2 linked regions of the Saccharomyces cerevisiae S288C genome follow. The protein of the gene in region 1 interacts with the protein of each later gene in a pairwise test. Each region holds a gene or a part of one and is shown in the gene's direction. Other genes may lie near its edges.

Region 1 (3,846 bases):
AATTCCATCTAAGCCCGAAAATACTGTGAATTTAAACCAATGCTCTTCCTGTGATTTGACTCAAAATCTCTGGTTATGCCTACATTGTGGTAATATCGGATGTGGCAGGGAACAAATCGGGATTGATGGTCACTCGCATGCTTTGGATCATTATCGGAGTAATAATAATCACCCATTAGCTATCAAATTAGGGTCTTTAAGCTCTTCAACCTATGATCTGTATTGTTACGCATGTGACGACGAAACTAGATTTCCAGATAATGTTAATTTAGGCAGTGCACTACAAATATACGGAATTAACATACAAGAAAAGATTGCGGATGAAAAGACTCTAGTTCAATTACAAGTGGAACAGAACGAAAATTGGCAATTTAGAATGGTCGATTCTAGCGGTAAAGAATTTGAAAAATTATCCGCTAGTAAGAATTATGGCTGTGGTCTGATCAATTTGGGTAATTCCTGTTACTTAAATTCGGTTATACAAAGCTTGGTGAATGGTGGCGTCCCGAATTGGTCCTTGGATTTTCTAGGAAGTAAATTTCCACTGGATGTTGTATATCCGGACAATAATTTAAAGTGCCAATGGATCAAGCTACTCAATGCCATGAAATGTGAACCCGAACTATATCCAAATGGTATCAAACCTACTACTTTCAAGAAATGCATTGGGCAAAATCATCAGGAATTCAGTTCCAATAGACAACAGGATGCGATGGAATTTCTAACCTTCCTTTTAGACTTGTTAGACAAGAAATTTTTTTCAAGTAGTTCTTCAGGTATTCCAAATCCCAACGATTTAGTTAGATTTATGATGGAGGATAGGCTCCAATGTAACATTTGCGGGAAGGTTAAATATTCTTATGAACCCACAGAGGCTATACAGATTCCCTTAGAGGAGAATGATGAACCTCAAGATATGTTAGAGAGAATCAAGGCGTATTTTGAAGGGCAGACGATTGAATTTAAATGTGCTAATTGTAAGGAAAAGGTTACCGCAAATAAAAAACCTGGTTTCAAATCTCTTCCTCAAACACTTATTTTGAACCCAATAAGGATTAGATTACAGAACTGGATTCCTGTTAAGACAAGTAATGAGCTTTCTTTACCAGGTTTAATAGACAGGGATGATATGCTAGATGTTTCGTCTTATTTATCACAAGGATTTGATCCTCAAACTGAAAACTTATTGCCTGATGAGGACGAAAACCGTAGCTCTTTTACGCCAAACCAATGCAGTATTTCTCAATTAATTGAAATGGGCTTTACTCAAAATGCTAGCGTGCGCGCCCTATTTAACACCGGAAACCAAGACGCTGAGAGCGCTATGAATTGGCTATTCCAGCATATGGATGACCCTGATTTAAATGATCCCTTTGTCCCGCCTCCTAATGTCCCCAAGAAAGATAAGAGAGAAGTGGATGAGGTATCATTGACTTCAATGTTATCCATGGGACTAAATCCCAACTTATGTCGTAAAGCCTTGATACTCAACAACGGAGATGTTAATCGTAGTGTTGAATGGGTATTTAACAACATGGATGATGATGGAACATTTCCCGAACCTGAAGTGCCAAATGAAGAACAGCAACAAAAAAAGGATCTTGGATATTCGACCGCTAAACCGTACGCTTTAACTGCAGTTATTTGTCATAAGGGAAATTCTGTCCATTCTGGTCACTATGTTGTTTTTATTCGTAAACTAGTGGCAGACAAATGGAAGTGGGTTCTTTATAACGATGAGAAACTAGTTGCTGCCGACAGCATTGAAGATATGAAAAAAAATGGTTATATTTATTTCTATACAAGATGCTAAAAGAACGTTTACACACACACACACACACACACACACATATATATATATATATATATATATATATATATATATATATTTTGCATTATATGTGTATGATCAAATCTATCGAGTTAAATATTTCTACATATTTCAGTAATAAATCCATTTCCATTAGCTATTTTGCAATGTTTTTTCTTTTTTTTTTTTGCTGCTGTTACCTTCGCCGCTAAAAAATCATTTAAAACAAGAAAAGAGTACATTGTTTGATGAAACAACAAGCAAGAAATGTAAACGATAGTCAAACTTAGTAAGAAGAGAATCAGCTGGCTTGGTACTTGATCTTTTGATTTGACCTCATTCTTTTTGCATACACGGCTCGTTTGGAATACTGTTGTAAAAATGAATTACATGGCTTATGATTATGATCCCCAACATTCGTTGGAAACGTCCTTTAACAATTTGGCATTTCATCCCCACCAACAGTCACAGCAACAAGCCCTATACGAATCTGGTGAAAGAAACGATGCCAGGCCGGGATTAATGAACACCTTAGGTCAGGCGAGTAAAATGAATAATTCCATGCTTCCTCAAGGTTCGTCGGCTAGTCCCTTAACGGGTCAACATAGCTTGAACAGTACAACAAATTTCAACATGCCCCCATCAATGAATACCTATAATTACCAGAATGTACCACAAGCATCTATGAGAAATACTCTCAATCATAACAATATCATGAATGGGGCAACTGCTAATGATTATTGGCTGGATCCAATGAATAATATGACAAATAACAAGGATACTAATGGGAATCCTAATGACTCGATGTCATCAATGTCTAATATGACCGCTAAAACCTCAATCAATAGTACGGCATTCAAGAATTCATTTGTTCCTTTTAATCATGTGACAGCGCTCTCAATGAATAATGTCAACAGCAATGAGATGAATTCAAATAAAGATGACAGAATGGAAGCATTGGAAGTAGAACTACAAATAAAGGAAAGTCAAATCGAATCACTCGAGAACGAAATTCAAAGGCTAAAGAAAATTTTCAACGAGGGGCTAAACTACAAGCAGAATGAGCATAAGTATGAGAAGGAAAACTGCCATATACCCCAAACTTTCGAATTGCCAGCTTCCTTGGAAGTGATATTCAGAAAACTGTCATCGTCACTGCATGCAAAGGAAAAGGAGTTAGCAGAGACGAAAGAAAATCTGGAAAGTATATTAACTGCACTGGCGCTAAATCCAACAAATTCAGTGACTAAGTATGGCAGGTATGATGCAGAATCGATTGCTCACAAAATGGTGGTAAGATTAGAAAACTTAACAAACGAGAACAAAGAAATGGCCAAGATGTTAGCATATGGCAGATCAAAAGAGACCCAAATTGAACTGCAGTTGGCCAAAAAAGAAAATCTAGAATTAAGAGAAAAAATCGCATCTTTGGAAGCCCATTTGGCTTCAAAGGAGTCTTCAAAGGAGGACGTTGCTAATTGAAAGAGGTTTACTCATTATCGAGAACATATGGCTAATTCTAAAAAACGAAAAAGAATAATATGCAAATATATAGATATGTGTATATGATACAAGCTTTTTTCATGAAAAATAAACGGAAGAGAATTTTTGCTTTTGTCCTACACGAGGAATGTATCAAAGACTATTACTTTTTTAAGTATGTTGTCTTAGATGGCTGAGTTTTATGCTTTTTCCAAAAAGAGCAACGTAGCTGTTATTTATTTACTTAGTTATTACCTCCAGATAACGTGTCTAATCTCTTACCTCTATTTATAAAAATTATTCATTAAAATACTATTGAAAATTGGAGTATATACTTACAAACGTATATATTTTTTTAGAAGCATCAAGGCAAGATCAAAGCTATGCCGCTTTGTTCCTGATGTTCTCCATTTTTTGCTGGCTTCATTAACAAAGACGTACTTTTAATCCTAGAGGTTCATAAAAGTGAACAATCAGTGTGAACTTTTATGGATATTACATAATACATTTAACGGCATTCCATTTAACAATAAAATTCAAATGTGCTCAGCTGT
Region 2 (5,110 bases), on another chromosome or scaffold:
GCAGAAATACTAAAGTGGCTACCAAGCTACCAAACTACCTTAATGCAGAAGTTTTGACGTTGCTGTCCCTGCAACGTGAAAAGTCCAAAAAGGCGCGTTTAGTTGAGGCCCAGCCAAATCTTTTCGCGGTGGGCCGGCCAAATAGTTTAAGCAATTTACCCAAAAAAGAATAAAGAGAGGCGTAAAGACGTTAGTTAATATTTTATTATTCCTTCTCCATATGTCGGAATTCGGTGTACATACATATATATAGATATTGTTATATAGATTTGTGCATTTGCAAGCCACCCTAGTTCATCAGGTTGAAGAAGTATTATTCAGCTCTTATTTATCCACGACATTGATGTTGTGGGCCTTCAACTCTTCCTTAACCTTATTGATGACTTCGGGATCATCGCTGATGGGTCTTGTGTAATCCAGCAGGACAGTGGTCTTATAACCTAGTTCTGCAGCGGAAATGGCGGTGGCTTTGACACAATACTCCAAAGCTACACCGACAATGTAAACCTCGTCTGTATGATGCTTTTCTAAGTACTTGTTCATGTCGGTCTTATGGAAGTTCCAGATGTCGTGGAAGGCGGAGTAGTATTCACGGTCAGTCAAGAAACCCTTGTCGACAATCTTAATATGCTTAGTGACCACTTGGTCCATTATTTGGTCAACCAATTGACTACCCCAGGTGTTTTTCACACAGTGTACGGGCCACAAAATACCCTCTTGCGTGGAATCATCGCCTGGCCTTGGAGAGTGGTAGGTGTATGTTGAATAGGGTTCTTTATCTTTATGGTTCTTTGCGAACGAAATATGTCTGGAAGGGTGCCAATCTCTGGTGACCACAATCCTGTGCCAGTCTCTATCAGCATCTTGCATCAAATCCGAGATAGGATTGATTAATTCCTCACCTTTTGGAACAGTCAAGGAACCTAAAGGTGAAATAAAATCATTTTGCATATCAACAACAATTAAAGTCTTCATTTTTGTACTGTATTTTATTCTTTCTAACAAAGATATAGATAATCGTAAAAGAAAGTTTTGTTTGAAGGTTTCCTCACCTATTGCATCCAACCAGGTACCAGTTAAGAGTACATTGTATATGAAAATATATATATGAGTAATATATATATATATAGTTTTATTAATAACTATTAGCACATCATAATCGTATCTGGAGACACATACATAGTGGGCCAAACGGAAACCCCTGCCCCTTGAAGAACTTTTTTTTCATAATTCACTTTTCCAGTACGTAACACCACGCGGCGCCCCTTTGTGGGGCCTGCCCCTTTTTTTTTTTCTTTCTTTTTTTTCGGAAACATTCCGCGAGATTTCGGCACGTCCCAAATGATATCGAGCTAACACGTATAAAGCGATAACGTATATAACGACGTATGATTTTAGCAACGGAAGACGTTAACAATGACATATGGATATTTATTTATATATATAATATAAAAATTTCATTACCCTGTGTGCCACCTTGATCCTTGACTTAATATATTTTTTTCTGCTTGGATCTCGGCGGCAGTTTTTTCTGTTTCATATAAGGAGGATCGTAGGGAAAGAGGAAAACAAAAGGCATAATTAACCAATAGCAACAATATAAGCAGTACAGAACCCTCACCACCAGAATGCAGAAGTGTGCTGGCCATGCACCACTGGTGACTGCAGCCTCGCGGGTCTCCCAAGACACCGTAGACGCTCTTTTGCAAGCTATTTTAAAGGCCTACCATAAATTAGCTTCGATCGACAGTCACATTAATGATCCTGTTGAAATAGCCTTCAAGCTCATAAACTCTTTTAAGTATCTGCCAATTTCAGGCTCTTCTGTAAAAGATTTTGAGTCGGAACTGCGGGAGTTAGACGTTTTTTCTCCCCTTTTGCAGTCAGCCGTTACTGCTGCTAATAATAGCAATATCATATGGGACCTTATAGCGGTGTTATTTGCATACATTTCCATCCATAAACAGCTCCATCCTTTGATCCTGCACAATCTGAACATATGGAAGGATTTTATGGCAGATAATGACGAAGAAACGGCGACAACCACGGACGGGGACTCAATGAATTTCGGCGTACTGTCGCTTCTTTCCATTGTTCAAAATTTTGAAGAAATAACGCCAAATCTATTTGAGTTTCTAAAGCTCGGTTTGAGATCCACTTTACTCAAGATATGGGTAGCACAATGGCAAAGATACGATCCTTCGGCAACGAACTTAATCAACGGTGATGAGAAAATTTCTAGCTGGATAACAAAGGATTACCAGGTGGATTTTTTTATCATCACTTCATTAGCATCAACGTCCTCATTAGAAGTTTTGCCATCTCATTATTTTGTGTACAAGATCTCTAAAAGGATCTCTCACTTCCCAAATTTAATTGATCCTAAACTATATCGATCTGCAATTTCTACAATAATGGAAAATGGGATTTCAGACAATGGTGGTGGTGAGAACTCCAGCGACAAAATTGATCCGACTGATTTGTCCTTTCACTTACAAGTTTTAATGGAAGTTATTGACCATCCTGAGTTGAATTATTTGCAGGAAAATCGATTAATTTTGTTGCTCGACATTGCATTAAATTATTTAATCCTGGTTCCTACTCACTGTTTACATTCAAACTTTGGTGAATTGGGCTCTACTCAAAGTTTAGCATCCACTTTAAATATCATTCAGTTCCTTCTATCGAAATTCTTAATCAACATGGGCAGTATTTCGCAATTAATTAATCAATACAACAGGAAATGCATCACTACTAATAACATCAATAATAACAACATTAACAACAATGGCGTTATTAATGGTAGTACTAACACCACTAGTACTACTACTACTACCATCACTAATAACAATAATAATAGCAATAATAGCAGTATTAGTAATAATAACAGAAAAATAGACTGGACGCAATCATATCAAACGAGGTACCAAATTCCATACTGGTTTGAGGACTCAATTTTGCCACCAATTCCGCCTATTTCGAAATCGCTTTTCACTTTTGACAAGAACCTAGACCATGAGTCGGATTCAATTATGATTGTAAATGATGTATTACGCTGTTTGAATTTAACCATTCTTTTAATTTCTAAACTTCTAAGGGATTATGATGACCTGAAGATTAACCCACTAATTCAATCATCAGATGATCACAGTAATGAAGACAATCATGTGATAATAGAACAATACATGCAGCTTTATCTCGTTCCATTATTTACTTCATTATTATTGGCCCAACAATTAAAAGACCGAGGCCAAGAACGAGATGAAGGACATAAAGAGAAAGAGGAAAATATAAATCTCATCGGGTCTTCCTCAGTCAAGAAATTATTTTCTCAACTAATTTTTTTTAGCTCTTTGAAATTGTGTGAAAATTTGGTCATAAAGGAAAAAAATTTAGCACTATATCATTTGATCAAATTCGCGACAAAGGTTTCTCTGGATGATTTGATTTTACAAAAAATATCCATAAACTTATTGAATCATTTGTTCTTCCATCAAATTAGGGATGGAAGTGATGATGATAATTTAATTAAAAAGTTATGTTTAAAAAATCAACTTTCTTTCCAAGCTTTGAAAGATTACATCACATTGTGGAATGACGGTTCTGAAGTTTATAATGCATTTTATAAGGAGCTTTTCTATGAAGAGCAACCAAAGATTAAGCCAATAAAACTAACAACATCTGACTTGCTGAAATTATTCCCTGAGGATGTTCAATTTGTGATATCCACTCCACCAAATACAATAACTTCAGCATCAACAAGCGATAATTGTACATCATCACAATCAGCTGCGCAGAAAAATATTGAAAACTTTACTACGTTATCGAAGTACGATGTCTACTCGTCCACATCTTTCATACCGTCCACGTCGAAAAACACTAACACTAACGTTAGTAAGCAGCAGCAGCAGCCTCAAAACTCTACTCCATGTTCTTCCAACAGGTTTTTGTTCAACAAAAGCAGCCTAATTTCTCAGGAAAGTAATGGTAGCAACAATAACAGCGGCACACAAGGACCTGGTTCCATGAATGAGAGTTATTCTCTTGACAATTCATTCAACACAACCAATACCAATATGACGAGACAACCAACCACCTTAACTAGAGCAACCGATGCTATGACTACGGCACCTACGACACCAATTCCATACAAGAACACTAGTGGAAGCAGCAATAACAATCTATGGATTGAATCGCCCATGACAAATTTCAAGGGTTCCACCATCAGTAAAAGTACTAATAAGAGCAAAATGGTTAATACTGGTAAAAATTATATTTTAGGGGGCCACAATAAAGTTAAAAACAACAGTAGAGCTCAATCAATACATATAGATGACTTTGAAAATGAGAACAATTAATTATCTCTGCGGAAGACTAAGACAATCAAAATATGTATTCTTACTATCATAATTAAATATTTTTATCGTTATTAATTATTATTATTATTACTATTATTATTATTATTATTATTATTATTATTATTATTTATTATTTATTAATTATTAATTGTTAATATTATTAATTCTTGTCTATTGTCTTTTGATTTATCTGCACCGCCAAAAACTTGTCAGCGTATCAGTCCATGTGTGGGAAGGGCAACGGTAAACTTCTTATGGGTGGTAATGTTTCCAGTTCTTGAACTTGTGAATCCGACTGAGAAATGGGGGTTTGTTGGGTGGATATAGCAGTATTAATCATATTCACCCTTGGTGACAATAATAACGGGGTTGTACTTAACGAACTACTGGAAGCCATCATTTGATTTTGATTTTGATTTTGACTTTGGTTTGACGTATTTTGTGATTGCAGTAGGGTATGTTGCTCTTGCTGCTGTTGTTGAACGTTCAGTAATCTGTTGTTCAACTCCTTTTGGAAATCAGGAGATGATGAGGAGAAATGCAAGTGATTTTGGTTCATTACATACCCCAAAGTGTGCAAATTCGTACCACTAGTGGATCTACTTAGCATTGTCGTGGGCGTGGAAGTCTTAGATTTCTTTCTTGATTGCTCTTGCAAATAGTCTTGCTCAAGGTTATCGATACTAGAGTTAGACGGGTCCTTTAGTCCGTCTTCTTCATCCTCACCACCAGTAGTAAAATCAGAGTCAGAT

The links.
Region 2: the proteins of MUM2 (region 1) and VIR1 interact in binary tests that used the Saccharomyces cerevisiae proteins (3 or more experiments, as listed by UniProt).

Annotation. Positions count from the first base shown.
Region 1 is NC_001134.8:351,639-355,484, reverse strand, and holds MUM2 (Mum2p), read left to right. Parts: upstream 1-2,191; coding exon 2,192-3,292; downstream 3,293-3,846. Other genes in the region: ubiquitin-specific protease UBP14, read left to right, coding at 1-1,813.
Region 2 is NC_001139.9:426,973-432,082, forward strand, and holds VIR1 (Vir1p), read left to right. Parts: upstream 1-1,628; coding exon 1,629-4,358; downstream 4,359-5,110. Other genes in the region: PNC1 (nicotinamidase), read right to left, coding at 325-975; transcription factor MIG1, read right to left, coding at 4,576-5,110. UniProt on the Saccharomyces cerevisiae protein: Component of the MIS complex, a complex that mediates N6-methyladenosine (m6A) methylation of meiotic mRNAs and is required for initiation of meiosis, progression through the meiotic divisions and sporulation.